2 linked regions of the Arabidopsis thaliana genome follow. The protein of the gene in region 2 interacts with the protein of the main gene of each other region in a pairwise test. Each region holds a gene or a part of one and is shown on either strand. Other genes may lie near its edges. The genes, in order: CHX10 and AT1G66920.

Region 1 (16,769 bases), on a different chromosome or scaffold from region 2:
AAATAATTAACTACCCGAGAACAAAAGTGTTGTTTCTAGTATAATAAAAGGTAACTCCCATGTTGTGAGCTGAAAGCGTAACCAGAAGCAAAAACCAGCGGATTTGGGAGAGAGTGACAGCGTATCCGGCAAGGTTACTTTTGTTGTGAACGACGAATCGGAGGGTCCCGGTGCAGTTTATATTCCCTCTCATATTTCTCCATGAGCAGTTTTTTTACTCCGGTGGTCTGAAAAAGCCCTTGCACGTGTCAACAGTTGAGGAAAGATTATTTGACATCAGTAGTCAGATATCTCGAAGAGCATGTCACCCTAAAACTCCTTTCAACAACAAATGTTGGACATTGAAGAAGAAGAGAGCATCCTCTACCAAGTGTATATGGATGTCTCTAAAATCTCCAAATCCTTTTCTACATCAAGAGTCTCCACATACTCGACCATCTCTACGAAAATTGTGCTTGTGAATAAGAAAAAAATAAATAATGTACCAACGTGCTGTTGGCCTAGTGGTAAATTTCCCAGATGTAGGTGATGTGTTCGAGGCACGTTGGGAGGGATCTCTTCTCCACAGGAGATGAATTTAACCTGTTGTGGGTCCCGCTTCTGGGAGATGTAGGATCTTTGAGCTTGAAATTTTAGATATTTAAAAAAAAAATAAAAAAAAAATAAAGAAGTAAATAAATAATGTAAAATAAAGCTATAAAGACGCAATTAAAAACATGATACATCAATAAAAGAGAAGGAAGATGGTTGATATGAGTTAAATAATGGAGTTAGAGTTGTTAAGTTTTGATATATCATAGTTCATAAACTAAATAGAGGGAGAATGTTAGAGTCAAATTAATTGTTAATATCCTTGAAGAAAAAAAAATTACATGGAAATGGAAAATGGAGAGTTGTTTGAAGTTTAAAGCTAGAGTCAAATTATTTTATTCTCCTTTAGTGATTTAGATTTTTGTTACGTTTTATGCTTGATTCACAACACAAGATCTTCACAAACTTTCTAAAACTCAGCAATCGAAACTTCGAATCAGCTCAAGAACAGAAACGAATTGAAGAACGAAAGAAACAACACAAGAGATTTGATTACCCAGTTCAACAAGATCGGTATGATCAAGTTTCGGCCGAATCAGTTCGGCAATCCACTAGAACAGAATGAGAATTACAGAGTACAAGCAGAGCTCAACAATGGAGTTTCAAGCTTTTCTTTTTTGTTTGTTACAGATCAGAAACGGATAATGAAGAAGAAGAAATAAAGGCCTTTTATACTAATTCCCAAATAGAAACAGAAGACCCTCTCTCGCGAAAAGAAGGTTTCCTTTAGCCTCTTCAATCCGGTTTAAAACACTCCATCTAACCGGTCCTCAATTCCTCTTAACCACAACACCTAAACCGGTCACTTAAAGTTGAATCAGAATTAAGATCCACAACAATTTTTTTTTTGTTTTAAAGGGATCTTTTGAAGTTTTGAAAACTTAAGGAAAAATCAATTAGATGCTTTTTAATTCATTTAGAAGATATATGTGTGTGGAGATGTGTATTTTAATTACATAAGGGTTTCATAGTCTTTGTTAAACGTGCGGCCAAAGAGAAAAAATCATGTAATGCATGTGAGGTTAAGAGTCGTTTTGACTATTTTAGGACTGATCATTGTGGTGTTATTGTTCGCGTGGCCGCCATTGTATAACTGGAATTTAGCGATGCCGATATTCCAAGAGATTTGTATGGATATTATATTTAGACAAATGAATGACTATTTATACATGTTAAAATTTTCTAAAGGTTAGTCCTAAAAGAACGCATAGTCTTACGGTCAAAACATGTCACGTTTGTTGTTGTTGTTGTTGAACTACTAAAACCGAGACCTTAGAGTTTAGATCTCTAGCCGCCAGCAAATCCCCGATGACACCTAACTCTGGTAGTTCGACCCATTCCGTTAGTCCTGATAAGTCTTGTGATGTCATATCATGATCTCTCCCGACCACCATTAGATCGTACTCTTCTGCAAGCAATTGGACAGCTTTGACTACCTCAACGACACTAGTCACAATCCTCTCTGTATAAAGAATATCTTCATTGGATTCAGTACTCTTTAAATCCTTCAGGCCCTCGTTATCAAGAATATAGTCCCACTCTGACTCTATTTCATGGTCGAAGATGAGTCGGATCACGGTTACACGGACCCGCGGGTTATATTTCATCCTCTTCACCAATGATAGTGCCTCCCTATCGTCTTTGCCTCCAATGAAGAGCACACCAACATCAATGTTGTACCTATTCTTGCTCGTTACATAGCTTTTCCGCGAGAATTGTCCACGATCTACTAGTATGCCTATCGAACAAGGCGCACGATCGAGTAATGACTGGTTTAGTTGTCTTGCAGCAAGGTCGTCAGACTCGAACATCCCATCTACGGTCCATTTCCTCCCCGATGGGACGACAATCATCGATGTTGTTCGATCAAGTGCAAGTGTACATATGTCTTCGTGCATCAAGTTTTCATGCGAGAACGCGGTGAACGTAGTCACGGTTACAGACTCTAAGCTTTCTTGCATGAACTGTCTAAAGGCAAGATTTGCGGTATGGATGTACGAGTTTTTGTGAAGCCGCTTCAACTTCTTGTCGTGTGACACTATGATAGGGTTGATCTGACCAACTAGCTTCACAAGGTGGAGAACTGTGACCGCGATAGGGAAGTCATGTATCGGTGAGGAAAACAATTGGAGGAATGCTATGGTCTCCGAGACGTTTTCTGGTTTGTGCAAACAAGTTAGAATTCGAAGACCTGAGTTTGCTTCTAGATGCAATATGTCCCTTTTCTGATAATTAACGTACTTTCGTTTCGGATCGTACATGCTCCTTACGACCATAGGGACAATCCCTGCACTTAGTAGCGAATATAGGATTAAGAACGCGTAAGTGGCCTGTGATATGAACTGCAAAATCAAACCATAAAAACATGTTTAGATTTACGGCAAAATCAATAATAACAATAATAGACTCGTTTGTGGGTTAGGAGGTTACCTTTTCTTCTAATACAGCTTCATAGAGAACGAATTCAACAAAACTTTTGTAGCTTAAGATGAGGGAAACAGCCAAGGATTCACTGCGAGGTAACTTGTAGTACAAGCAAAGTGTAAGGCAAGCAACCAGTTTTATGACAAGTATAAGCAATGTTAGGAAGATGTTGAAGTAGATGTCAGTGAACTGGCTAAGGATCCTTAGTCCATCACATCTCATCGCGCTGAATGTGATTGAGATTGGTAAGAACACGTTCATCGTGAGCCTCTCAAACTTAGCCTCCAGAGCGGATCCTAACGGTGGACCCTCTGGTATGATGATGCCGATAATTAATGGTCCTAAGACGTATTTCATGTTGAAAAACACAAAATAAGCCGCGGAAGCAAATGCTGTCAGAATCACGGCATGAATGTATATATCCTCCACGGGCTTGTCTTCGGGTGTGCGGTCTATGATCCATTGCACCATCGGCTTAAAAACAAAAAAGACGATGAGAAAGAAGATGATCACCGCGACAAGGTCACGGTAAGCTATTGCATGTGAAACATGAATGTAGGTTGCTTGTGTAGTGGCGACTATCATGGCAAAAATCCCCAACATGTCGTTGATGGCACTTGCAGATAATGCAAGGCGACCAAGCTCGGAGTTGATGATCTTGAGCTCTAGCAATATATATGTAGTGGAAGGCAAAAGTATCTGAGACTGAGTTATGACAATCACAGTGCGCTCGGCCAGGGCTTTGTCTAAAGACATGTAGTGAGGGTCGATGTTGTCAGTGAAAAGGTTCAGGAAACTGAGACTAAACAAAGGAGCAAAGAAGGACACGATCCCGATCACAACTGGCAATTTTCCGCTATGGAACGCCACCCGCCTGCTGGTCCTAACAGTCATTAGAAACGTAAACATTAGTCTTCCAAATACTGAAATGCATCTTAACGCTGCGGTTCCATCCAACGCAGGATCCGCCGATAGTTTTCCTGAAGACTTCTCTAGTATATCGAAAAGCTGAGGCCCTAGAATTAGTCCAGCCTGCACATAAATTTATATATAGTATGTTATTTTTGGAAAACTATCTTCATGCACGCATTATCTTCTATGCGCCTTAAACAATTTACGTGCATGTCAAGTTACATGTCTACTTTTGTAGTTCTAATAGATACAAATCTTAACTTTTGTATCTTTTAGATACATGTTTTTTCCCATGCAAAAAATCTTTATTTTTGTAGTTCTACTTTTCTCTTATGTGTTTGTCAAGTTAAATATGGAAAGCTGCTTACAATCATATATGAAACGATCTGGGAAACGCCGATGCATCTGAGGAACATATGAGACATGACAATGCAGAAGAATATCAATATTATTTGAATCTCCAGGAGAGGCAACGAGTACCCGAAAACCACATCAGGCGATTTTAGGTTCTCCCAAAATCCCTGAGAAGATATGTTGAAGAATGATATCCGGCAATGCCCAATGTAAGTAGTCGTGTTCATGAATATAAGTCCAAGAAATTAGCAAAACTTGGGGATGAAAATACCGTCTTTGTGTGATAAAGTTTCAAGTCTTTGAATTTGGGTTTTGAAAGAAGTCGTGTTAGTTTATTGTGATGTTTTTGTCTGGTCTTTGGTAAGTATTTGTCATGATCTCTCTGGAACTAATGGAACTTTCCAATTTAGAAAACAAATACCACAGAGAGGAAAAAAAAAATAGTTGGTTCTTTCATGGAGAATTTGCTTTGCTAAATAAAAAATTGCAAGTTTTGAGGTTTGATACACTGCTCCAAAATTAGCACAAAGTGTCTGTTCAGGGACCCAAGTTTAGGTCTATAGCTTAAAATCCGATTACACATAAATTTAGTCTAGAAATATTTTCTAACTGCTTCAATATATGATCTATATAAGTTTATAATTAATGTTTTTTCCTTCCCTGGATAATACTTATAAGTATAATTATTTTGGTCTAATAATACTTCTAAAATTAGTGACCACCCTAAAATCTGATGTACTACACTATGATAAATTTAGACGTGCATGCGAAAAAAGTGAGGAAAGATTTAAACCATATTTGAATAGGTGAAGAACGAAAATGAAAATGAAAATGGGGAGAAAATGGAGCTAGTACATAAGCTTCGAGAAAGAAGAAGAAGAGAAAATGAGAACAGGAGAAGAAGAAGAAGACAAGAAGCCAGCAGCCGAGAAGGAAACCGAGTTCTTCTCGTAGCTCCTCGAGTCGCAACTAAGTTGAGCTGATTTGGAATCCTTTTGCTTAGGTTTAGATCTTTAGATCAATCTCAATCTGAACCTACGAAGATGTGAATGAGATGAGAAGGAGACGTCAATCATATGCGAAAGAGGAAGGCACAGACAGATATATATGTCAATGTGCTGTGCACAATAACGTGATGTGTTTGATTTTCTAATGGATGTCTTTTTGTGTGATTTTTCTTTTCAAATTTAATGCATTTGTGTGTCTAGACTCTAGATGGCCACGAGGCCCACGACTGGATCGGCAAGGGAGTAGAGGCATATTGAAGACGGATGAATCCTAGACGTTGAATTGTGGCCCAAGTTAGGGTTGCTTGTTTTCTAAGAGATTATTAAGTGGGTTAGAAGGATGAGTAGAGCTGTAGAGGCATATTGGGGTTGCGTGAAGACGGATGAACCCTAGACGTTGTATTGTGGCTCAAGTTAGGGCTGCTTGTTTTCTAAGAGATTATTAAGTGGGTTAAAAGGATGACTATCAAACTTTGAACAGAAACCTTAGCGAGATATAGAAGATGGAGAGAGAATCTCATCTTTCGACTCCTGATCCCAGCTCCTATGATATTTTTGATTTTGCCTCATTATCAACAATTGATGTCTCTATATGATTTTATTTGAGGATAATGCGTAACAGTGTAACACACAAGTTATCTATGTTGTATATTATTAGGAGAGACTTCATAATTTCTTTACTGGATCGGAACAGAGCCAAGGGTATGTATCTCAGATCCTGAACTTGAAAAACATATCTTGTCGAACAAGTTAGGTTTCTTTGTAAAATCTAAGACATGACTTGAGGCCGTTAAACTTGTCGGCCCCAAAGAACAAGTTAGGTTTCTTTATCGAATCTTGAACCCTGCTTTCTCCATCGATAGGCTCAATGTCTTTAATACTTCTTCCTTAAACTCGATTTGAGATATTATTAACCCTTAGAGAAAGCAGATATACATTAAGCTACATTTGGTTGTAATTTAATTTTGTTGATCATATCAAGACCACTGTGATATTAGAGGAGTGGAGAAAAGAGAAGAGTAAGGAAGAAACAAAGCAACCGAAGATTAAATTGGAAATGAACAGATAGATTTCCAAAGACTAACAAAAGATATAATATAAAACCCCAAATTCAGAAACTTTCTCCCAACTAGAACTGGTAATGTTTTTAATATTTTCAAAGGGTTTCTTCTTAGACAATGTTTCTTGCAGTTGAAGAAACATGTTTCTTTCTTGAAGATAAACATGGAGTCGCTTCGACTTTACAGACCAGTGTCAGCTTTGGGCAACCTAATGTTCTAAGAATACCAGAAGCTAGTGAAAGAGTGAAAGAGTGAAAGGACGGATTGAGAAACACAGAGTTGAGCTGGAGGAAGTATAACAATCTGAATCAAAGTTTATGGTTATTCCTTCTTATGGATTCTAAGTATGTTTAATTTGTATATAATGTAAAAAAATTTGTATGAATATATACGCATATTATATTTAAACAAATGAATGACTATTTATACATCTTAAAATTTTCTAAAAGTTTGCCCTAAATGAATACACACAGTCTTGCGGTCAAAACATGTCACGTTCGTTGTTGTTGTTGTTGAACTACTAAAACCGAAACCTTAGAGCTTAGATCTCTAGCCGCCAGCAAATCCCCGATGACACCTAACTCTGGTAGTTCGACCCATTCCATTAGTCCTGATAAGTCTTGTGATGTCATATCATGATCTCTCCCGACCACCATTAGATCGTACTCTTCTGCAAGCAATTGGACAGCTTTGACTACCTCAACACTACTAGTCACAATCCTCTCTATATAATCAATATCTTTGTTGTCTTCAGTACTCTTCAAATCCTTTAAGCCTTCGTTATCAAGAATATAATCCCAATCTGACTCTATTTCATGGTCGAAGACGAGTCGGATCACGGTTACACGGATCCTCGGGTTATTTTTCATCCTCTTCACCAATGATAGTGCTTCCCTATCGTCTTTGCCTCCAATGAAGAGCACACCAACATCAATGATGTACCTTTTTTTGCTCGTTACAATACTTTTTCGCGAGAATTGTCCACGGTCTACTAGTATGCCGATAGAACAAGGCGCACGATCGAGTAACGACTGGTTTAGATGTCTTATAGCAGTGTTGTCAGACTCGAATAACCCATCTACAGTCCATTTCCTCCCCGATGGGACGACAATCATCGATGTTGTTTTGTCAAGTGCAAGTGTACAAATGTCTTCGTGCATCAAGTTTTCATGCGAGAACGCAGTGAACGTTGTCACGGTTACAGACTCTAAGCTTTCTAACACGAATTGTCTAAAGGCAAGGTTTGCGGTATGGATGTATGAGTCTTTGTTAAGCCGTTTCAATTTCTTGTCGTGTGAGACTATGATAGGGTTTATCTGACCAACGAGCTTCACAAGGTGGAGAACTGTAACCGCGATAGGGAAGTCTAGGTTCGGTGAGGACAACAATTGTAGGAATGCTATGGTCTCTGAGACGTTTTCTGGTTTGTGCAAACAAGTTAGAATTCGAAGATCTGAGTTTCGTTCTAGATGCAATATGTCCCTTTTCTGGTAATTAACGTACTTTCTTCTTGGATCGTACATCCTCCTTAAGACAGTAGGGACAATCCCGGCATTTAGTAGCGAATATAAGATTAAGAACGAGTAAGTGGCTTGCGATATGTACTGCAAAACCAAACCATAAAAAAATGTTTAGATTAATGGCAAATGATACCAATAATCGACTATTTGCGAGTTAGGAGGTTACCGTGTCGTCTAATACAGCTTCATAGAGAACAAAATCAGCAAAACTTTTGTAGCTCAAGATGAAGGAAACAGCCAAGGATTCACTGAGAGGTAACTTGTAGTACAAGCAAGGTGCAAGGCATGCGACCAGTTTTATGACAAGTATAAGAAATGTTAGGAAGATGTTGAAGAAGATGTCATTGAACTGGCTAAGGATCCTTGCTCCATCACATCTCATCGCGCTGAATGTGATTGAGATTGGTAAGAACACGTTCATTGTGAGCCTCTCAAACTTAGCCTCTAGAGCCGATCCTAATGGTGGACCCTCTGGTATGATGATGCCAATCATTAATGGTCCTAAAATATATTTCATGTTGAAAAACACAAAATAAGCAGCGGAAGCCAATGCGGTAATAATCACGGCATGAATGTACATATCCTCCACTGGCTTGTCTTCCGGTGTGCGGTCTATGACCCATTGCACCATAGGCTTAAAAACAAGAAAGACGACGAGAAAAAAGATGATCACCGCGACAGTGTCACGATAGGCTGTTGCATGTGAAACATGAATGTAGGTCGCTTGTATAGAGGCAACTATCATGGAAAAAATCCCCAAGATGTCGTTGATGACACATGCAGACAATGCAAGGCGACCTAGCTCGGAGTTGATGATCTTGAGCTCTAGCAAGATATATGTAGTGGAAGGCAAAAGTATCGAAGATTGAGTTATGACAATCGCAGTGCGCTCACCTAGGGCTTTAGTTAGAGGCATGTAGTGAGGGTCGATGTTGTCAGAAAAAAAATTCTGGAAACCGAGACCAAACAGAGGAGCAAAGAAGGACACGATCCCGATCACAACGGGCAATTTTCCGCTATGGAACGCCACTCGCCTGCTGGTTCTAACAGTCATTAGAAACGTAAACATTAGTGTTCCAAACACCGAGATGCATCTTAACGCTGCGATTCCATCCAACGCAGGATCCACGGATAGTTTCCCTGAAGATTTCTCTAGTACATCAAAAAGCTGAGGCCCTAGAACTATTCCAGCCTGCACATAAATTTATATATATGATTTCAGTTTCTGAAAAATATCTTCAATAGCACGCATGCATGATCTTCTTTGTCCCTTAAACAATTTACGTGCTTGTCAAGTTACATCTACTTTTGTAGTTCTAATAATTGGAAATATCTTGTGTGCTTGCCAAGTTAGATATGGAAAACTTGCTTACAATCATATATGAAGCGATTTGGGAAATGCCGATGCATCTGAGGAACATATGAGACATGACAATGCAGAAGAATATCAGTATTATCTGAATCTCTAGGAGAGGCAGCGAGTAGCCGAAAACCACATCAGGCGATTTTAGGTTATCCCAAAATCCCTGGGAAGATATGTTGAAGAATGATATTCGACAATCCCCAATGTAAGTAGTCGTGTTCATGAATATAAGCCAATAACTTAGCAAAACTTGGGGATGAAAATGCTTTTTTTTTGTGTTATAAAGTTTAAGTCTCTGGAAAAGAAGAAAAAAAAGTGTTCATTCTTTGAATTTGGGTTTTGAAAAGAGTCTTGTTAGTTTTTTGTGTTGTTTTTGTCTGGTCTTTGGTAAATAGCTGTCATAATCTCTCTGGAACAAATGTAACTTTCCAATTTAGAAAAAAAAAATATATATATCCAGAGAGTAACTGTTTTTTTTTTCCATTTTGTTTGTTCAAAAACGTAAAATCTAGAACATGAAGAATTTGCTTTGCTAAATAAAATTGCAAGCTTGGAGGTTTGAGCCAAAATTAGCTCAAAGTTTCTGTTTGGGGACCCAAGTTTATAGTCTAGAAATATTTTCCAACTGCTTCAATCTAAGTTTACAATTTTTTTTCTTTCCTTCCCTTGATAATATTTTTTCCGATCTAATAATACTTATAAAATTAGTGACCACCCTAAAATCCGATATACAATTAATCCGATAGATCTATATATACATTTTTGCAACCATTTTGTGAAATAAATCCTGTAGTTCGGATTTATTTACAATGGTTGCCACTGGATTTTAATGTTTGTTTTTGATAATTAAAAAGAAAATCTTCGAATTAAATATTTGACATTTAACAATCTTCCCAAAATCTCTTCATATTAACTACATGATTATTTACTAAAATAATACTTCTAAAATATTTAATATCATTTAATTACTACAAAATTATCATTTTTGATATTGCTTTTCTCCATAACTATAACAATTCGATTATAATCATCAAAGCGCAGAGATATAATCTGATAGCATTTAATTACTACAAAATTACAAAATATTTAGACAATGATTCATAAACATATCATAAATAAGATCAACATTAATAAAATAAATGGTTTTTTTTACAGGACGGGTTTGGCAGGACGTTACTTAATAATATTTGTAAACTATAAAATAAAATTATTTTATAGATAGATATAATTTGTAAACTTTTATATATATACTAACTTTAAAAAATAAATTGTTCCCGTGGTATACCGCGGGTTAAAATCTAGTTTAGACGTACATACGCAAAAAAGTGAGGAAAGATTCAAACCATAATTAAAATGTTTAATATGGCTGGTGGTCAAAAGTTTATCTGAAATTTCTGGTGCTTATTACCTTTCATTACCTCAATTACTAAAAACATCTGAAATATGAAATAATTAAAATCAGTATTCAAGTTAAATTATATTACAAATATTAAACATACAAAAAAATGTTGTATTTTTTATTGTTTTAATGGTGAGAAATGGTAAAATTTTTGGAAAATGTTTTAACAATAAAATACACCAAAAATAATAATATATAATCGTTTGATTTGCTCAAAGGCTGATTTCAAATGAGAATCTTTCAAAATCTACCACTGAATAAATACAGATTAATTGGTGGACAAGATGTGAGATTCATGATAATAGAGCAAGATGATGAAATTGAGGACAAGATCTAGACGCAACAGAGAATTTCCAATCGAAGATAATATCTGGAGACAAAAATGCGGAATTATATAAGGGTTTGTGGATCTATGGTCGTTTTATCGAAGTTATCTTTCAAAATTTCTTTCAATCTAGATCTTGAAAAAGAGAAATTTTAATTTTTATGTGCCAAGTTCACATTTTTTCTTAACCATTAATCTGTATTTATCCACTTTTACTAATTCTTGCTATACACTTTTAATTCTACAATTTTTATACTTATTTTGTTTTTGGTGAATATTTTTATACTTATTATTTCAAAACTAAACGCAAATATATTTTATATTAAAAAAAATTTAAATTCGAGAAAGAACTCTCAGAAATGATCATGGTAATTTCTTCTCCAAACGCCTTAATTTGTTTAAGAAACCTCCCTCAACTTATATTTTGATGCATAAATCGCCCTTCTCGATAAAGGTGTTAGTCAACCGTTATTCACTCGTATTTTTCGACATTTTACCAAACTTCTGAGCTCTAAGTAAAATACAATGAAAATTGAGATAACTTATTAAAAGTGAACTTAATTTCATAAACTGTTATAAAAGCATAATCTTCTTTCACATATTTTAAACCATCATAAGCTACATGGTTTAGACTATAGAATCTTAAATTCTTCTGCTATAGAACATGAATCTTATCCGCTGATTACTGTTGAAGCCATTTGTGGAGAATGCTAGCTTGGAGTTTTCGAATTTCAGGTTTCGGACATTTGACTTGATTCCGAACTATATGATGGAGGAATATAATGAGAATGTAACCATTGCGTGGTAGAGTTAGAGGACGCAACTGAACTGTCAAAAAACTATATGTTGCTTGGAAGACAAGGACTGCAATATGAACATTGTAAAAGAGACTAACATTGTAATGGTTAACTTGAGTATGCAGTTTCAATTAGTGTTCATAACGTTTAACTTTTTCTATCCCTATCCATACCAAATCTTGTTTTCAGGAATTTCGAGTATATTCTTCAACTGAAACTGGTTTGTATACAAAATAAAAAAAATGGTGTTCCTTCCAGTTTTATAAAAACCAACAATGAACCCCCATATCGATTTCTCTAATATTTATAAACTTATTTTATAAAAACAAATGTGTATATTTGTATAATTTTCCCTTTTAGTAAGTCTCGTTAATTTTATTTTCCCGTAACTAAGTGTCAAATCAATAAAAAAGGAATAAGCATAATCATGACTTTGTAAAGCTTCAAAAGAAAAGAAAAAAAAACAAGATTTTCTCGTACAATCGAAATTTTTCTTGTCTGAAAAAAAGAAAGAATAAGTAATTTTATAGTCTTGAAAGAATTTGTAAGCAACACCAAGTATTGGACTTTTGCTTTAATTAAGGAAAAGACCAATTAATAGAGAGAATAAGGTCTATATATATAATCACTCTTAACTTTTCCCTTTAAATATCTACGTATACATTATTATAGACTTTTTGACCAAAAATCCCTCAACTATTTATTATTTTCAATATTAGTCCTTACAAATATAATCTCAAACAAATAATTTATAACTAAAAATTTACAATTAGTTAATTGCATTAATTAGTTGAATTCACTCCAAAGACACTTAAATTGTTATAGAAACTTATCATAACTTTTTTTGAATCACATAACTCCAACGCCACAAATTTTTTATAGAAAGTTTTCATACTCAACAATGTGCATTCATTTCAAATAAAATTCTCACTTCAGATATATGGTAAATATCAAACTACATATATGACTTTTCCTAGATAATACAAGTTTTAAATCATTATTACTTCTAAAAAAAACTCAATTCGTAAACAAAAAATACTGAATTTTAGCATAATAAACTAATATTCAGCAAATATCATAACATAAAACATGAATAACACAAGCGATAAAAATTATAGAATTTTGAATATATTATTCATATACAAATAATAATACTTATAAAAATATTTATAACTTTTCAATGAATATATACGCCCGCAGTGTACCGCGGGTCAATATCTAGTAGACTATTAATAATGGGATTACAAAACTAGTATACCTTCGTCTAAATTTTTGATAATTAATAACAACTAAACTTTTGTTCTTTTTGTAATCAGAATTCCGATGTTTGATAAGTTTATATTAATCTATGATATTATTAGACTATATAGTTACATTGGATTTTCAAACAAATTATCATTTTATCAAATTATGTTAAATATTACCTTGATCTGACTCGAGATCGGAAAATAATTAATTTATAGTGATTATTAATTTATCGAATGTTAATTTATAAAGGTCATTTTTCGTACAAAGTATTTACGAATCTAATCGGTTTTAGTGGTTTTTGCTTCCTAGCCATGAAAACCGGATTTAAACGGATGAGTATACAGAACATAAAACTCAATGGCTCTTCCCAAACCCAATGCATTTCAAATTTTCTTGTTTTCTTGCATACATCTTATATTCTCAATCTTAATTTGGTAACTGAATAATGATCTTTTCTTACAAAATTTCTCATAGAAAATTCAGGAAATTGTTTCTACTTGGGAGAGCGACATCAAATATGGCATTACTCAAGCTCGGTATGTACAAGACTTGGTGGATGTTGCTACTCCGTCATTTCTTCTAAGCCGCTAGCATCAAAACGAGTTTCGAGCTCCCTCTCTTGGAGCAGTGATTGGAGAAGTTGATGATGTGCAATGTGGACCTTACACTCTTACTCTGTATTGGCGAGTAAAGATCTGTGGTATCCATATTATTGGGTAATGACTATGCTCATGACATACGTTATCATCCCAAGAGCACACAACTCCACGGTTTAGCAATGAAGATGGATATGCTAGAGGATGAAATGAGCCTTTGCAAAGTCATGATGCTCTATTTAGCAGAGGGACGATCGCTAGAGTTAATAGAGAATATATTCAGATCTTCCAAAACGAAAGGAAGAGTGATATATAACACCATGATCTCGGTGTATGGAAAACACTTTGCTGAGAATGCACACCAGTTGTTTCTGGAGATGGTCAACAACAGAATTCGTCTCAGCGGTCACACCTTCAAGTATCATCTAGAAGCATGGACGATAGCCTGCAAACCACAAAGGACTCTTGAATTCTTGCATTTCATGATATTGTTTTTTATAAAGGTATACTTTCCATGTATTATAATAGTTTTGACACCAAAACATAATTTTGAAAAATGAGATCAGTTAGAAAACGTTGACATAATTCTTTTCCCAAATTTTTATGGTAATTATTTTCTTTTAGAGAGTAAGGTGAGAGTTCTGTTTTTTTCCTTATTATATATGTTTTTTATAAAGTTTCATGTTTAATGTTTTCTATGTATGTTTTGCATTCTGATTTTGATTTTAACAAATATAACATCTAAGATCTTTAATTATTTTTGTTTGATTTCTTGCAGGGTAAGAAAAAGATGTAGGATTCTAATTTTTTTATTTGATCTCATCTTCCAAGTTTTTAAAAATATTTGAGCAATTGATGTCAAAATGGATAGAAAACAGAGAAATAAGCTAAGAATATTGTATAATTTTATTATAATATATGTATTTTTATTTCTTACGTTTTAACCTCCACAAATGATACGTTGGGTTAATTAAAAAAGATATGTCATGTTATATATTTTAGTCTCCTATAAAAGAATTGTTACTATGTAACAATCTATATTATTAATTAGGAATCATTCGATATAATATAATCTTATAAAGAATAATATATTATAAAAAAATACCATTGGTACTTTTGCATTTTAGAAAAAAATCGTCGAAGGATAAAGTGGAAAATTGGCAACTAAAAAGAATGCGGGTCTTGGGCTTGGTATCGGATAAACACTCGGATCTATAAAGCTACAACGTCTACTTTGATCTATAATATTATCTACAAGTAAAAAAAGGGATATTGTTGAGGCAACTAAGCACAAAAGCAAAAAGCATCGGACTAAGAAATGAAGAATAAGAACATTTAGGATGAGAAGACTAATGAGAAGGAAATTACATATGATAATACCAAAGAGAAAGAAAGGGATAAAATCAACACCTAAATTTATTGGTTTTTGATTTTTAGGTTGTTCTTGGCAATTTCTTTTGTTTTGTATTCTTTATATCCCTATTTGCCTTTGTGTTGTTTTAATTCTGATAGCATTGTTATGCTTAATAAATAAAGTGTCTAACTCTCGGTTTAAAGAATGAAAGTTCTATGTTATCAGTTGGAGAAAATTTTAGAGTGCTTAGACAACAAAAATAACCAAAACTAAGATAGAATACTTACATATGATCCATTTGATGGATAGTTCTCCATCGTTAATCCTAGATTAAAAAAAGTTATAATAATAATAGCGGAAAAAAGTCAATCCCAAATGATTTCATATATATCTCCGTGAGTTTAAGTATGTAATTTTGTAAAAGTAAAGTAAACAATCACCTGGTACTTTTGTTGTTGAGAAGAAGAGACATTGAAAACGAATAGCTTAAAAATACTAAGAAAGTGAAGCCTCAAAAACACCATGTCTGTGCAATATTGAGAGCTCACGAGCTCCGACAAGATGGAAAAAAATAGCAATTAATGAGCCATGAAACGAACTAGATACTACTTCATATGTAACATATGCTAACACTTATCTTTCTGTTCAAATGTGTAATTCAACAAACAGACAACAAAATTGTTTCAAGTATTCATTTGAAAACACAAAATAATATTTTACAATTACTTTTTATAATTCATATCTATACTATTATCCAATTCACTAAAAAACAGAAAACAAATTCTGTAATTACTAATACTACTATTTTAAAAAATATAGATACTAAATTTTATCTAACACATATGTTAAAATAAGAAATCCCACACGTATGTGCGGATCAAGATCTAATACTATATGTAAAGAAGAATTAATCTAAGGGTCTAAACCTAGCTAACTAAAAATGACCATAAGTCAAAATTTTACGGATTTGTCTAAAAACACTCACAAAATTTCTTGCTCTTATATAAGGCAATTGTTTACTAAATAATACATAAAAGCAACTAATTTAATATTTGTGGATAAAGTTTAAATATCCATAATTATTATATGAACCACAAAGTATTATACATAACAACAAAATGTTTACATTCACAACAACTAATTTTGATTGATTAAATTTCAAATGAAAATAATAATTTGTATATAGATCTAGCACATAAAATTATAAATATCTCTATATTTTTCTACAAAACTAAACAAATCTAAAAAATTAATATATCCATTATTATATTATTTAGTAAATTATATAAAACATATAAAAAAAAATCTTGCGATGTAAGGCGGGGTAATCGTATATATACTGCATACCAAACTTGTAAAATCCAAAACTTTCAATTTCAAACAAATATCACACAAACAAAACAAAATTCAAATATTCAATACCCCAAATAAAATACCCAAACAAACAAATTATTTACCATATATAATTACATAAAGACTCAAATATACAACAAACAACATAGCATAATACGTAATTTATGAAATAAATTATGTACATTCAAATTATACATCTTGATTATGTTATTTAAATAAAAATAATATTAATTAAAATAAAAAATTCTAAAATTGTAAAGAAAAAATCATCCCGCGGTATACCGCGGTCAATTTCTAGTAATATTTCATAACGAGTACATGAAAATATATTATTAAATTGCATACGGAATAGTAAGTTTTTGAGTTTTTATTATATATATGAATGCTACAATTATAGCACATTACATGAAAATACATTTATTAAATTGCATACGGAAGAGTAAGTGTTTGAGTTTAAGTATATAT
Region 2 (16,289 bases):
GCGTGGTTTTACAGTGTCCTATCCTGTCTGGGATGAGGGTTTTGTATCCTGTGAAATGTACATATTGGTTTGACATTTACAAGGTGATTTACTAAACATCAAATTTGCTTCTGATTACATATATAGCTTCTAAAATGGCGCAATTTCATGTTTTTCAGAATATTGACAAGATCGGCTCAGTTACCTGTCCTGTATTAGTAATCCATGTAAGTGACACCATCATCTGACTTCTTGCATTGCTTTGGCTTTGAGTGTGATTGTTATAAGACAGGTCACTGAACTCTCTTGTTGGTCTATTAGGGTACTGCGGATGAAGTAGTTGATTGGTCTCACGGAAAACGGCTCTGGGAACTCAGCAAAGAGAAGTATGAACCTTTGTGGATAAGTGGAGGTGGACACTGTGACCTTGAACTCTATCCAGATTTCATCAGACATCTGAAGAAATTTGTTGTATCACTTGGCAACAAACAAGCAGAGCAAGCTCCCACATAGCGAGATAGCTGATATGTTTGAAATGGGTTATTTTCAGAGAAGGCTAGACAGTTGGCTACAGAAAGTTCAAAAGAAAGTAATAAGCCTGAGAGATTCAAGATGAGAGTGGTAATAGGTTTAGTCATTAAAAGATAAAAAAAGGTCTAGTCTGGTGACACAATGGGTCAATCTGGAATGTAAACAGTATAGTACATTTCGTGAATAAATGTATTTTCTGCTTTCATGCTTTAGTAGGTTCCAAAGAGGTTACTTTGTTTATTTCACATTCATGGATCATACTTTTATGATTCTATAACATGCCAGAGAAAGCTGTAAAAATAAATAAATGTATTGGCTACTTTTTTTGGCTTTAATAGGCTCCAAAGAGGGTTTCTTTCTTTATGCAACATTTATGGAGCATATTTCTGTGTATGCCGAGATATCCTCTGAAAAAGTAGAAGATTCTTGAAGAGTTGCTGTGGGGATTTGCTGCAAAACAGGCCTAGGAGGGACTTCAAGAGCATCCAGGTTTCCTTCCATCATCTCTACGACTCTATTCATTGCTGGGCGATCTAATGGCCAAGGCTGAATACACCACAAACCTACCAACGTCATCTTCTTTGCTATCTCATCTTCTTCGTTACTGATTGCAGTCTCGATACTCTTTCCATTGTGTGCCTTTTCAAGATCCCTATATATCCATTCGGGAAAGTACATTGAGCTTGTGCTTGATGTAGTGTCCTCGGTTGATGTTTTGTTCCTAGCTCCTATTATATCAAGAACCAACATTCCATAGCTATACACATCTGACTTGTGGGAGACTCTACCGTACACTCTTGAAAACACTTCGGGTGCAATGTACCCTATCGTTCCTCTTGTGTCCATTAGTGACAAGATACTTTCTTTCCTCTCGCATAGCTTAGCAAGGCCAAAGTCTGAAACTTTCGGGGAAAGATTGTCATCTAAGAGTACATTCTGTGGTTTTATGTCGAAATGTACAATCCTTGTTCTGCAACCATGGTGTAAGTACTCTAGACCACGAGCAACGCCTAACGCGATCCCATATAGTTCCCTCCAGTCCATAGTTGATGACTTCTTGCTTGAGATGAACTTATCAAGAGACCCGTTTTCCATAAATTCGTAAATAATTGCTCTCTTGTAACCTTCAGAGCAGAATCCTAGGAGGGTAACAATGTTGACATGCGAAGTTTGGCTCATGCTTGCAACTTCATTGATGAAGTCTTCACCATTACCCTGCGACTCTTTTAAGACTTTCACAGCAACACTACGACCGTCATAAAGTGTTCCTCTATAAACAGTTCCAAATCCGCCTTTTCCAATCACTTCGGCGAATGACTTCGTTATACTCGTTACTTGCGCGTAGCTATAGTGTTTCAGTGGAATAAGGGCCTTTAGATTCTGTTGTCTTGAATCATCTGATGTCCTCATTCTTGGATCATTCAATGTCTTTCTTTGCCGTCTGATGAGACAGTTCAAACATGTGACTACAAGAATTACGCCCATCATTGCAAAGGAAGCAGCCCCAATGCCTAAGACATAAATAACGATAAAAAATAGTTTTAATATTACTTCAACAACCCCTTCAACAAGGTATTCAAATTAGAAATAGGTTAAGCACCTGCTTTTGCTCCAGTAGAGAGGCTTGTATCTGTGGAATGGCACCAGAAAAAAAGGTTAGTATTCGAACTAAATACATACCTGTGAATCTTACTGGAAATGAAAAACTTGAAACTCGAAGGAGTTTCTGTATATAGTTATCAGAAACTAAGAGAATTTTCTGTAGATGATCCAATCAAAAAGTCGATTTAGGGAAGGGACTAGTGGTGATTCTTGTGGAAGAACCATTAGGAAATTAGAACATGTAGGAAATAATACCCTTGTTTCTAGTAGGGTTTTGTGGCTCTTGCCTATAATAGCAGACGAATCTACTTGAGGTTTGACTAAATCCACAAGCACCCTTAGAGTCTATGCACGTCCGGCAATCTGAGTTAACTTCAAGCGCGAAACCATCTTCAAGTGCAATCTTTAGATTATCTGTACTTGGAGTACTCTCCAGTGTGTTCAGCGCGGTTCTAGAAGCGGGATTACTGACGTTTCTACTGCAAGATCCCCCAAAGTCGTTTAAAAGGAAACTATTCCCTTCAAGTTTAAGGGACGGCGGAAGGAACGTGAGGTTTCTCGTCAGATAATAATTTCTTCTATCATCAGTCCCATCATCTGGACAATCAAGCTCTTTAACAAAAGTAGAAACAAACGATGAAACGTTTCGGTTGCAGTCGTAATAAATGGTTAGCAGGTCGGTGGTAGAAGCAAGTGGAAGGACGGTTTCGTTGAATGACGTAGTGAAGGAATTTGGGAGACACGGATCGTCGATATTATCGGATCTGGCGAGTGTTATGATACCAGAGTCATAATCCGCACCTAGGATTCTAAATTTGACAGAAGAAATGCTAAGCTCTGGGACTCCTGCGTTACAGTCAAGCTCGAAGTCAGGGTGACCGCATTCTTTTCTGCCAGCAATCCAGAAAGGGTACAAGAGACCTCTCTGATTACCACAAGTAAACGAGGGACTGCAGAGTATGTGATTCCCATCGGCTGATAAAACACAAGATATATGGATCACAAAGAGCATCCATATGAAGCTATAGGACATAGATTTGGTCAGAGAAAGAGAAAAATTGATCATCGTGTTGCAGGTGAATGATAAAAAAAAGATGGTGAAGAAGAGATAAATCGATAAGAAGCAAGTGGCCATGGTGAAGGTCGAAAAGGATCAAGTCAAGGAAAGTTAGTTGACCCAAAGTCAAGGAAGGACAGTGACATATACAAAGAGACTTTTTTGGAGTCCTTATTAGTTTCAGATACTAAGTTATTTCTGAAAACTAATGAGAATCTAAAGATATTACAGAAAATATTGGAGTGTGAAAAAAGGCAAAGACCGTCATTCACTATTGAAACTAACTGATATCGAAGATGAAAATTCAATTTGTGACTAGTTCATGCCAATTTTCAAATCAGTTAAGTTAGAACTCTTTCTAAGCTCAGTAACAGGAGAACAAACACAACCATACGTCCTGATATATATACTGCTCCTTTCCGCAAAGATTACACTTAATCGGTCTTACACAACCCTAACACACTTGTTAGTTTGTTCCTGGCCAACTTCTAACTCATGACCACAGATTGTCCCCGATCACTCTACAAAATTACCGTGCATAACGGTCTTCTCTGACAACTACGGTCTCTTTAGAAATACCACCAACAGACCCTCTCCTCATAAACTGAGAAGACATTGCATTCTTGTTTATTCCAAAAGTCTGATGTCTCCATAAGAAGGTTCAGGCCACCTTGCTTACCAAGTTACCATCAAATTAAAATTCATTCCTGTTTTTTCCAAATGCCCCATACAATCCAAGGAATTGCCAATTGCAGATCACGGGGAATGTCATTGTTTTCCATCAACTGAAAGATAAATTACATGTTCTCTTTAAGAAAATCTGAGAAATGGTATATAGGAATATCACATACTTTAAGAAAAATAAAATGATAATTACATAAACTAAGAATGTTTTTGATTGATATATGCATAGTCCATTTGAGTCCCCTCATGAAAAATAAGTACATTTAAAAACTTGATAGTGATCTAAAAATTGAAGAAATAAATAGGTCCAGATTAAAACCAAAACGAGTATGTTGCTTCCTTCTGAGTATGGATGATATCACTACCTTCCTTCTCGAAACAACTATATCATTTCTAATCTAATTCTCATTCTATATTCCTAATGATATATAGTATCTGTAATATCTACAAATCAAAAGTTAGTTTCTTTAGTTTTTCCGAATAGTAATAATACAGAAAATTAGAGTTATCAAAGACGAGTCAGTTTAATTTGTAAGAATTTTCTAGGAAGTTGAGGCAAAACATGGAACTAAATCTTGAGTGGGAATGGAAGGACTTATTTGTAAACATAGACCACACTTTCTCCTAACCAAAACCTGTTTTTGTTCATGCATTAAATACCGTCTATGACTTACTGACCTTAGAAAATTCAACAAATGTGTTCTATTCTTTTTTATGCAAAGAAAATTTACGTTCAAACGACAGAGATTTACTCATAAGCTAAAAGCTTGCGAGTTACAGTTTACAGAGAAAATCATATCTCAGAGGAGATTGAATTTTCCTCTGAAATCCAGGAAGAATCGAGATGAGGCACTACAGAGCATTGCAAAACAGGCCTAGGAGGCACTTCAAGAGCATCCAGGTTTCCTTCCATCATCTCTACCACTCTGTTCATCGCCGGGCGATCTAATGGCCAAGGCTGAATACACCACAAACCTACCAACGTCATCTTCTTTGCTATCTCATCTTCTTCGCTTCTATTCACGATAAGCCTTCCATTGTCTCCCTTCTCAAGATCCTTATATATCCATTCGGGAAAGTACATTGAGCTTGTGCTAGATGTAGTGTCCTCGGTTGATGTTTTGTTCCTAGCTCCTATTATATCAAGAACCAACATTCCATAGCTATACACATCTGACTTGTGGGAGACGCTACCGTACACTCTCGAAAACACTTCAGGTGCAATGTACCCTATCGTTCCTCTTGTGTCCATTAGTGACAAGATACTTTCTTTCCTCTCGCATAGCTTAGCAAGGCCAAAGTCTGATACTTTCGGGGAAAGATTGTCATCTAAGAGTACATTCTGTGGTTTTATGTCGAAATGTACAATCCTTGTTCTGCAACCATGGTGTAAGTACTCTAGACCACGAGCAACGCCTAACGCGATCCCATATAGTTCCCTCCAGTCCATAGTTGATGACTTCTTGCTTGAGATGAACTTATCAAGAGACCCGTTTTCCATAAATTCGTAAATAATTGCTCTCTTGTAACCTTCAGAGCAGAATCCTAGGAGGGTAACAATGTTGACATGTGAAGTTTGGCTCATGCTTGCAACTTCATTGATAAAGTCTTCACCATTATTACCTTTTAAGTCTTTCAAAACCTTCACTGCAACCATACGGCCATCAGAAAGGGTTCCCCTATAGACAATTCCGAATCCGCCTCGCCCCACCACTTCTGCGAATGAGTTTGTAATTCTCTTCACTTGTTCGTAGCTATATTGCTTCAGTTGAATAAGTGCTTTGATTCTTGGTTTTGGAATATGTTCCTTGAGGTCTTGTTGACCCTTATCATTTGAAGTTTTTTGCTTTCGGATAATATGGACAACCAATGTTAAGACCAAGAATGGAAGTAGAGAAACACCTGCTATTGTAGCTGAAACCACAAAATTGTTTGGTTAAAAAGATCAAAAACAGTATTCATAACCAAATTAAGTTTATTTGAAAGAATAGGAGAAGGTAAAACACCTATTTTCGCTTCAGAAGACAAGCCTACAATAATGATTTTCAGTTTCATTTCAGTATAAAGTTGTTAAAGAAAATGGATATGAAAGGATTAAGATACTTACGAGTTGGTAGATTGAGTGGCCGGCATTTAGTTTCTAATGGTAAGGTTCCGGTAAAGCCGCAATATTTATGAGAAGATGAACATTCTTGACACGAATTTTCATCGATTCTCAACCTCACCTCAAATCCATTTCTTACATCCCTTACCAAACTTGTTATATTCAACCTTTTCTCGTTTGGAACGAAACTCGTAGGAATGTTCACGGTGAAACGGGCTTCGCAGCTAACAGGATTTTCAAGGTTGTCAGACACTGAGACCGAACCTATCGCAGGACATCCGTACCTTGCAAGGTCAGGAATAACAGGGTAGCAACGGTAGAGTGTGACGCTCTTGTAGGTTGGCAAAATATCGAATATTTCTGGTGGCAAAGTCGCGTTGGCGAATGGGAATGGAGAGAGGCAAATGGACTGTAAAAAGTCTGTTCTGGCAACTCTTAGAGTGTTATATGTATGATTTATACTAAGAACATGGTACAAATGGTCTGAGATGGTTAAAGAGGTGATGTTATCAAGGCAGTGAAGCTCCAGCAATGGATGACCGCAAACTTCGGGACGATTCCCTCCCCAGAAGGGAAAACCGGCAGTGATGTTTCCACACTGAAACTGAGATTCGCACCATCCAAGTGTTTGTTTACTTGAAGCACAAGGAAGATGGTAAAATAAAGAGAAGAAGAGGAACAAGACCAAACAAGAACTGGGGAGATAGTACATGATCGGTTTGATCTATGAACAATGTGTCTTGTGGTGAGATGTAGCAAAAAGAGAGAGATATCGGAAAGGAGCACCCTAAGTCAAGGAATGATAGTGACAGATACAGAGAGATTTGGAGTCTTTTTTTTTATCACGTCTATATTAGTTGACCCTAAAAATGGTGTTTCTCAATTATTTTCTTTAGATTTTGGTTTTAGTAAATTGTGGAGTTAAGTCTTCAGTGGGAATGAGAGGGATTTGCCAATAAAGCTTTACCATACTATCTCTTATCTCCTAAATCTGTTTGTCTTCGTTATTCTAAAGATGACAAAAGAGAATATAGGAGATTGGAAAAGTCAATAATTTGTTCAGTCAAAGACTTAGGTTCACACTTTCAATTATACTAGATTAGGATGTGTTACCAAACGGGTTTCTTATTTAATAATTCAGTAACAACATTAAACTAATATAAATAATGTTAAGAAATAATTATAATTGATACATTTCTTAGAATGAAAATTAAAATGTATTTCAAAACGTGTAAATTTTTAGGTGCAGGAACCAACCGAGGGATGTCGACAAGAGCTACAACTGGTAAGAAGTTATGTTCGAGAAACGTTTTGAGACTCATGTCTCTGACTCCAGTGAACTGTTGCAGCATTGGTGGCACTGAGGAATTTGTTCCTTCTCTTTGTTCTAGTTTAGTCTTTCGGATGACAATAAGATGATGGTTTAAAAATAGAATAGAGCAAAATAAAAAGGAAACATTTTTGTTCTTATTTTCTTGAAAATTAGACCAAACAAGACACGTATATCTACAGTCATGATAAAACCGGATGACATTGTACTGATTACTGAGGATGTCTCCAATATTATGACCAATAGTGTTTCTAGAAACAAGCTCTGGTTTGAGTACGAATCGGTTATGAGCTCTATGACGAGTTCTTTATTTTTTATTTTTTTTAGAAGAACACAAAGTTTAGAATAAGAAAACACTCCTCTGGTTTAGTAGTGATTCGTCATCAGTGAAGCATTATTTTGTTGGATAAAAATAAGGGTTTTAATATCACCCAATCGGTCCACTTGCATTTTGTTTCCTAAATTAAAATATAGTTTCTCCAAACTATCATGTAACTATGAGTATATTTATATGTAATTAATTACTTCATTAAATCAATCCACATTAATGAAATAAGTTTCTGAATGTTGACTTATTATTTTAATACTTGTGCTTTTGCATGTTCTAAATATAAAATATCTGAAGCATTAATTTGTTGGGTAAACGAGAGGCTTTGATCTCACATGGTACACTTGACATTTTCTCTTAAAAAATATGTGTTCCCACAAGAAATGTCATCATCTAATTGTTGTCACATGTAACTAGTACATCTAAGTTAAAGTCTGGTGAGTTACTTGTTTAACGCTTGATAGTGCTTTTGTATATTCTAAAGTCTAAACATTTGAGTTATTAACTTTTGGGTAAAAGAAAGTTTTTATTTTACCCCATTGGTCTATTTGGCATTTGTTTTTTCTTAAAATATTTTTTTTCTTTGAAATATCAGCTAATTATTGTCACATTTAATTAGTACATCTAAATTTACAATTAAGAAATCAATTTCTAGAATGTTGAAAATTTTGTTCAATTCATGATAATTTTGCTTGTTCTAAATTCTTTAACATCAATTTATTAGTTACGACAATGTTGCTTGTTCTATTCACATTAATTTGTTAGTTACGACTTACGACAATGGTTTTGACCGTTGACAAAAAAAAACAACACATTATAGGGATCCACTTGACATTTATTATTTTAAATAATAATATTTTTATTTTCTGCAAAAAAATTATTTGATTTCCATTGACTTTGGAAAACTTATGTATTTGATGTTAAACTGTTTTTTTCTTTTAGATTTAATTTAACATTATATTTCAAATAAATAAAATACAGTTGAATTATTCGAATTGTTTCTAAACCCGGTAAACAAAATCCAAACTACCCAAAAATATATGAATTACTCAAAATATTCCAGTACAAAAAAAAATTTCCAAACGAATTTAAAGTACTCAAAAAGTAAACTAAGTACCCGAAACTAGATAAAAATGGGTTAATTAGATTTTTTTTTTTAAGTACCCGTTTGGATCAAAAAGTTTCGGTGCCCGTAATACTGGCCTCTAAGACCAGTTCGTATCAGATATTTCTAATTTAGTTTGATTCGAATTTTTGAGTACGGGTATTTTGTACGTTTGCTTGTTTAAAATATTTAAAACACTATTTGTTAGCTACGAGATGAGTTTTGATAGTTGACAAAATAAAAATAAATAAGAGTTTGGATCTCATTTTAATGATCCACTTGGCATTTACTATTTGAAATAAAATTAGTTTTCCTTCCCAATAAAATTGTTTTATTTCATTGTTACTGGTAAAGTAATGTGATCAAAGTAAGATCTTCGTATTTTTGTATATGTCACCTGTCTCTATGCTTCTCTCTCTCACGCTCTCTATCTAAAGTCAATTGCTCCTCTCCGCTCAACACAAACCAAACGCAGGAGACACACTGTTCACAAATCATGTCCTATATGCCTACTTCTTGTCTGGTCTTGTTCTTCCTCTTATTCTTATTCCACCCTCTTCCTTGGGCCCTAAGTAAAGAAGACCTAGGGTGGTGTGAGGCTCTGTTTCAGTGTGGTAACAACACTGCTGGTTTTCCCTTCTGGGGTGGGAATCGTGCCAAACCTTGCGGTCATCCGTTGCTGGAGCTTCGCTGCCTCAATAACATCACCTCTCTAAACATCTCAAACCATGAGTACAACGTTTTTCATATAGATCAAACATCTAATACTCTTAGACTTGCTAGAACAGACCTTCTAGGTTCTTTTTGTTCCGCTGAATTCAATACCCCAACTTTCCCCCGCGAAATCTTTAAGCTATTCCCAACTTATAAGAGCCTCACCGTTTTATATAACTGTGATCCAAAGCTATCTTACCGCTCAAGTTATACATGTCCTGATCTAGGTCTTTTCTCTATGTCTCAAAGCCTTGATTACCAAAATTCCTGCCAAGACAGTTTCAAAGTTAACGTTCCAACTAGTTTTGTTCCAGAGGAGAAAGAGATGAATCTGACCCATTTGGAAAGTGCTCTAAGAAAAGGTTTTGAAGTGAAGCTGGTGATCGATGAGATACCGTGTCAAGAATGTTCATCCAGTCGTGGAATCTGTGGTTTCAACAGTACCACACAGATATGCTGCAACGTAACCTCACTTTCTGGTGGAGTTACTTGCGTACCACAACATCAACCTAGCGGTAAGTTTCTCACCTAATCCTATTGAGTGGCCTCCAAGGAAACAAAACAAGAGTATAACAAAATGATCAAGCTATCTCTGTTGTTGACGAATTCTCTGTCTTAAAGTCAAATGATGCTCTTTGTGATCCCATTTTTGTTTTATGTTTCAGCTGATGAGCTTAGGCGCCGCTGTAGTGAACGGTTTAGCTGCGGCAATCAGAGAAATCTCTATTACCCCTTTTGGATACCTGGTCGAGAATATTGTGGCCACCCTGACTTCAAGCTTGACTGTAGCGGAGGATTCGCAGAGCTTAACATAGCCTCCGTGAATTTCAGAATCTTAAATATGAGTTATGACTCTTCTAACAAAAGACTTGCCAGATCAGACTATCTCAACGATCTTTGTCCCCCAAACCCACTAAATGATGAGCCTCTCATCGAAACAGTCCTTCAATTCAGTGCTGACACAGAGTTGCTAACATTATATTACGACTGCCAACTTAATTCATCTGCTACTTCTCCTTTTCCTAGTAGCTACTTTGGAGAGCTTGGTTGTGATGAGGGAAGAAGTTACTATGTAACGAGAAACCTCTCATCTCCTTTACTTGACAGGTTTAGAGGAGTTTTAAACAACTTAAGAGAAATGTGCAAAAGAAAAGTCAGTGTTCCTGCGTCTGGACCGGCGTTAAACACACTTCAGACAAATCCAAATTCAAACAATCTAAAGATGGCTCTTGAACATGGTTTTGAGCTTCAAGATAACTCAAATTGTTCTATGTGTGTTTTGTCTGGCGGTTCTTGTGGATATAATCAGAACTCAAGTTTGTTTGTATGTTATTGTAAAGATGGGCCGCAAGATAACCAATGCGATATAAACCTAGATGGTAAGTTCTCTTCCATCTTATTAAGTTTAATTTCAAAGGACAAAGTTCTGTTTTCATTTCTAACTGACTTTGTTTTTGGTACCATTTGATTGTTGCAGATATTATCGGGAATCGAATAGGTACTTAACCTTTCTTGGAGTAACTGATTTAATCTTCGGAGCAAATCTTTGTTCGTTTCAAAATTTTATGCTGACTAATTTTACTTATTTATTTGTTCTACAGTGGCTATTATCATCGGCATTTTCGTAGGTAAGTTAAATAACTAGAGATATTTCTTTTTGCTCAATCAAATAAAGTTACTAATAAAACAGAGTTTCTCTGTTTTATTTTTGACAGCTTTGTGTACAATAGGAGGTTTCATTGCTTTCCTTGTATTATTGTGCCCTTGTTGCAAAGTCCGAATTTTCCGGAATAGAAAAACATCAGATGATCGGAGACAAGAGAAGCTAAAGGCCCTTATTCCACTCAAACATTATACTTATGCACAAGTAAAGAGAATGACAAAGTCATTTGCGGAAGTGGTTGGGAGAGGCGGGTTTGGAATAGTTTATAGAGGAACTCTTTGTGATGGCCGTATGGTTGCGGTGAAGGTCTTGAAAGAATCAAAGGGTAATAATAGCGAAGACTTTATAAATGAAGTTTCTAGCATGAGCCAAACATCTCATGTCAACATTGTTTCTCTTCTTGGATTCTGCTCTGAAGGTTCAAGAAGAGCTATTATATATGAATTTTTGGAGAATGGGTCACTCGATAAGTTCATCTCGGAAAAGACTTCAGTGATTTTGGACTTGACGGCACTGTATGGGATCGCGCTAGGCGTTGCTCGTGGTCTAGAGTACTTGCATTATGGCTGCAAAACGAGGATTGTGCATTTCGACATTAAACCTCAAAACGTTTTGTTGGATGATAATCTTTCCCCGAAAGTTTCTGATTTCGGACTTGCTAAACTATGCGAGAAGAAAGAGAGTGTCATGTCATTGATGGATACAAGAGGTACAATAGGATACATTGCACCAGAGATGATCTCTCGAGTTTATGGGAGTGTTTCTCACAAGTCAGATGTGTATAGCTACGGAATGTTGGTCTTCGAAATGATAGGTGCAAGGAAGAAAGAACGATTTGGTCAAAACTCTGCGAACGGAAGTTCAATGTACTTTCCAGAATGGATATATAAGGATCTTGAGAAGGCAGACAATGGGGATCTTGAGCATATCGAGATTGGAATCAGCAGCGAGGAAGAGGAGATAGCAAAGAAGATGACATTGGTGGGTTTGTGGTGTATTCAGTCTTCCCCATCAGATCGTCCACCGATGAACAAAGTTGTAGAGATGATGGAAGGAAGTTTGGATGCTCTTGAAGTTCCACCTAGACCTGTTTTGCAGCAAATTCATGTAGGACCTCTTCTTGAATCTTCTTGGATTACTGAGGAAAGTTCAAGCATCTCCGAGATTGAAAATAGGAATCTTCAAGTTTGTGAAAAAATATTGTCTTGAAAGTCATACTCTAGACTCTAGAGAAATGATCCTATAAAGTTAATGTCTGTAAATATTATTTGCATAACAAATAGAGAACAAGTATCAGTATACAAGAACACAATTCAAAAGTTCCACGGCGGCTTCTTAGATCAAGTCCGTGCTTTAATATCCTCTGAAAGTGTTGGTGATTCTTTAATAGGTCTAGGAGGGACTTCAAGAGCATCTGATGATTTTTTCTTTCTGACAATCTTGGCTCGGCAACATAGGCAAAGAAACACCAAGGAAACAATAATACCTGATACTAAAAAGCAATGCAGAAAAACAGAGAAAATGTTTGGTTAGTAACTTTGTATATATAATCTAAGAATATAAAAAAAAACATTTTGAATAGTCTCGAGGCAAAAAAAACTAACCTATGAGTATCAAGATCAACACACCACCTGTATAACCATTAAACAAGTAAAATTTGTCAGCATAAAACCAAAGATTAAAGAACAATAAACTCAGAGAGGAAAGGTTAACGGTACCTATTATCCATCTAATATTAGATTCTGTATCGATAAAATGGCGCAAAAAAAAAAGAAAAACAGTTAGCGCTGAATGAACACAGAAACTGTGAAACCGAAATCATGAAACTAAAGAGAGTGTCTGTAAATGAACCGATGAAAGAAATCTTACTGCCCGAACTGCATGATAGGCTATACGGATCCTTACAATAGCAGAGGAACGTACTTGAGGTCTGATTATATCCACAAGAACCCTCAGAGTCTACACACATTGAAAAGTATGGTGTGGAACAAGTCAAAAGCAAGAAAACAAAGTAGTAGAGGAAAAAGAGTAATGCTAAGTTAAGCTTATCCCTTGTCCTCACCTTTTCTCTTAAGCTCATTAGTAAGTAATTTATGTCTATAAGTGTATGAAACTTACCACTTGGTGGACGACATTTAACTCCTGGTGTTAAGTTTTCGTTGAAGACATGACATCTTCCAAGAGAGGATAAACATTCCTGACATGTATTCTCATTGATCACCACCGTCACCTCAAATCCTTTTCTTAAAACACTTTCCAAATTGGTCACATTCAACTCTTTCTCTTTTGTATCGAAACTCGTGGGAACCTTCACGGTGAAACTGGAACGACAGCTCTCAGGATATTTTTCAGGGCTTTCAGACACTGAGATGGGACCTATCTCAGGACATGTATAGCTAGAAAGGTTAGGAAGCACAGAGGAGCATTGGTAGAATATAGTGACGCTCTTGTAGGTCCGTGAAAGCTCGAAAGTTTCGGGAGGCAAGGTTGTGTTTGTGAATACAGAGGAGCAAAAAGAACCTAGAAGGTTCTGTTTGGCAAGTGTAAGAGTGTTAGATGTTTGATCTATACGGAGAACAGAGTACTTTTGGTTTGAGATGAATAAAGAGGTGATGTTGTTTTTGTTGCAGTGAAGCTCCAGCGATGGATGACCGCATTCTTTATGACGATTCCCACCCGAGAAGGGGAAACCAGCGGTGATGTTTCCGCACTGAAACAAAGTCTCACACCAGCCAAGTCCTTGATTACTTGAATCACAAGGAAGAGGGTGAAATAAGGAGAGGAGGAAGAATATAACTAGACAAGAAGTGGGAAGATGATACATGATTAGTTCGGTTCATGAAAAATGTGTCTTCTTAGTTTGGTTTGTGTTGAGAGAAGCAGAGTAAATGAATTAGTGAGATACAGAGAGAGAAAGAGAGACAAGAAGCCTCAGGACCATGTCAAGTGGGAGACTGTCCTGAGGACCATGTCAAGTGGGGGAGACAGAAGCGTAGACATGTGATGATGTCAAGTTTACTTTTGAAATTTCTTTGTTTTTTTCTCCAAGTTAAAATTTTGAAATGTCTCTCTAATAAGCACTAAAAATTCTCTATACGGTCCTACCACGTAGTTGATGAGGTCTCAGCATTGTTCGAACTGGATATGATTATGGGAACACTATTAATTGTTCTATCTTAACACAATTTTTCCTTGCAGTTAATCCAATGTGGAGTGAAAAAACATCTTGTAAACACATCCCAAAGAAGGTGTGCCATGGAAACACAAGATTCAAATCTTTGATGTGACATAATTGTGGTACAGTAATGATTAGTTCTCCGAATATACTAGCTCCCTCCAATAACTAGGGAAAAATTGTTGGTATTGGATTTAGCACAAATCCAGCCAGCCCAATGAAAACCCATTAAGTGTCAACGACAAAATAAACTAGGAGATGAGGTACATACGACGTAAATATAAAGCCCATGAAAACACGAAGATGAGTCATATCCAGATTGCTCCAGATGACCTCGACACATTCTAATTGCTGAATCAAAATGGTCAAATTTTGAATTTAGCGATATATTTAACATGTTAAGACATTTTGATCTGAGCATTTAATGACTTCTGACTAAGACAGAATATCAAACCAAAAATCACCAACTTTTTCTATCCTCGATATTAGCTTTTCTCTTCATTTCCCTTTGTAATTCAGTTCGAGGATCATCAACATTCAACAAAAAGACAAAATCAGAACTATTTAATGATGATGGTTGGGGAAACGATCAGAATATGATCCATAGGGGCCCTATTTTCTTTCTTAACACGCCATAGGGAAATGGCGACCTTATATCAATATATACCGTGGAATCAAAGTTTTGAAATTTTTACAGGTCAAATCTAATGAATGTGCATGGTTTTAAATTCTAACGTACGAAATGATGTAACCGTTTCCGTTATATAAATGTCCAAAATAATGATACTCTACCCACTAAAGAAGAAATTAAATAGGGAAACAAACTAAAAGTACCTCTTTCAGTTTGATCCAAAAAAAACTAAAAAACAAAAGTACTTCGTGTAAAACTCCGATTTTGTAAATATGGTGATGTATTTCAAGAGGTTTAAAAGAATTGATTTGAGTATTTATGTTACAAAAAATGCATTTATTTTTTTGGGCCCTCACAAACAAAATGCATCATTTCAGAACCCCACAACTAAGCTTTTTTGAGATGGAACAATTTCATGATTGATGACCTACCCCATAGTAACTTTTGGTAATGTGTGAGTTGAAAACAAAATACAAAAAAAAAAACTCATGGTAATTTGTATGGTTATTAAACAAGTCTTTTTAGAATAACGCATCAACCATCGGATGAGAGTGTAGCCCACAAACCAAAAAAAACGTGGGAATGGGACATTAGCAGTACAGTCGGGGGTTACACTTTGTCATTTAGGTGTCGCTATACATGTGCATGCGTGCTTTTTTAAATTAAAAAATAAAATAAAAAACAGGTTGAATAATTCGATAAGTAAATAAATACACAAGTAAATTCACTAATTTCCTGCCGTGATTTGGTTTAATGCTTTAATACAAATGTTTTCTTTTGAAATTAAGGTTGCGACTTGTGAGTTCTTCCAAAGTTGTTTTTTTTTTCTTTGAAAATAACGTTAATTTATATTCCAAAAAAAAAACATAACGTTTTTACGTCGAATGCAACGTGAATTTAAGAGTCTGAGCTTAAAAGAAATATGAAAAAATGATCACACTCTAAGTGATTAACTTATAGACTTGAACCAAGCTTGGAGGGCGCCATCGTATCTCCTATCTCCCTTGAGTCGGATCGATGACAACTGGTTTCTGATTTGTATCTAGCCATTCAACGAGTTGAGAGACCGTGTTCGGAGGCTCACCGTGCCGTGTTCCAAAGTTGTTCTTGAGTTTAGTATAGAACAACACGATTAAATAGCTACTTATACTAAGTATAGACCACGATATGGTCACACATGCAGATTATTTAGTTTTATCAATAACTACATTAACTATTGTCTTTGTATAGTGACACACACCAATTAACATGCCTTATATTTGCAACATTATACCCATCTTTTTAGTCTTGTTCCAGTTCGTACGTTGGAATCCAGTACCATCCGGTTTAAATCCAAACCTGACGACCCACCAAACCAATCCAACTTGATCCAAAAGAAGACTAATT

The links.
Region 1: the proteins of AT1G66920 (region 2) and CHX10 interact in a protein complementation assay, tested with the Arabidopsis thaliana proteins (one large-scale study listed by BioGRID).

Annotation. Positions count from the first base shown.
Region 1 is NC_003074.8:16,395,218-16,411,986, forward strand, and holds CHX10 (cation/H+ exchanger 10), read right to left. Parts: upstream 9,608-16,769; 5' UTR 9,456-9,607; coding exon 9,243-9,455; intron 9,062-9,242; coding exon 8,036-9,061; intron 7,954-8,035; coding exon 6,841-7,953; 3' UTR 6,674-6,840; downstream 1-6,673. Other genes in the region: CHX11 (cation/H+ exchanger 11), read right to left, coding at 1,821-2,933, 3,022-4,047, 4,296-4,508; AT3G44935 (uncharacterized protein), read left to right, coding at 13,786-14,100, 14,376-14,393. UniProt on the Arabidopsis thaliana protein: May operate as a cation/H(+) antiporter.
Region 2 is NC_003070.9:24,960,764-24,977,052, forward strand, and holds AT1G66920 (Protein kinase superfamily protein), read right to left. Parts: upstream 6,824-16,289; 5' UTR 6,670-6,823; coding exon 5,961-6,669; intron 5,884-5,960; coding exon 5,860-5,883; intron 5,768-5,859; coding exon 4,647-5,767; 3' UTR 4,371-4,646; downstream 1-4,370. Other genes in the region: AT1G66900 (alpha/beta-Hydrolases superfamily protein), read left to right, coding at 1-83, 159-206, 301-492; AT1G66910 (Protein kinase superfamily protein), read right to left, coding at 871-2,060, 2,368-3,178; AT1G66930 (Protein kinase superfamily protein), read left to right, coding at 9,217-9,949, 10,100-10,813, 10,912-10,932, 11,036-11,062, 11,150-12,306; AT1G66940 (kinase-like protein), read right to left, coding at 12,438-12,589, 12,702-12,839, 12,967-13,056, 13,216-13,921.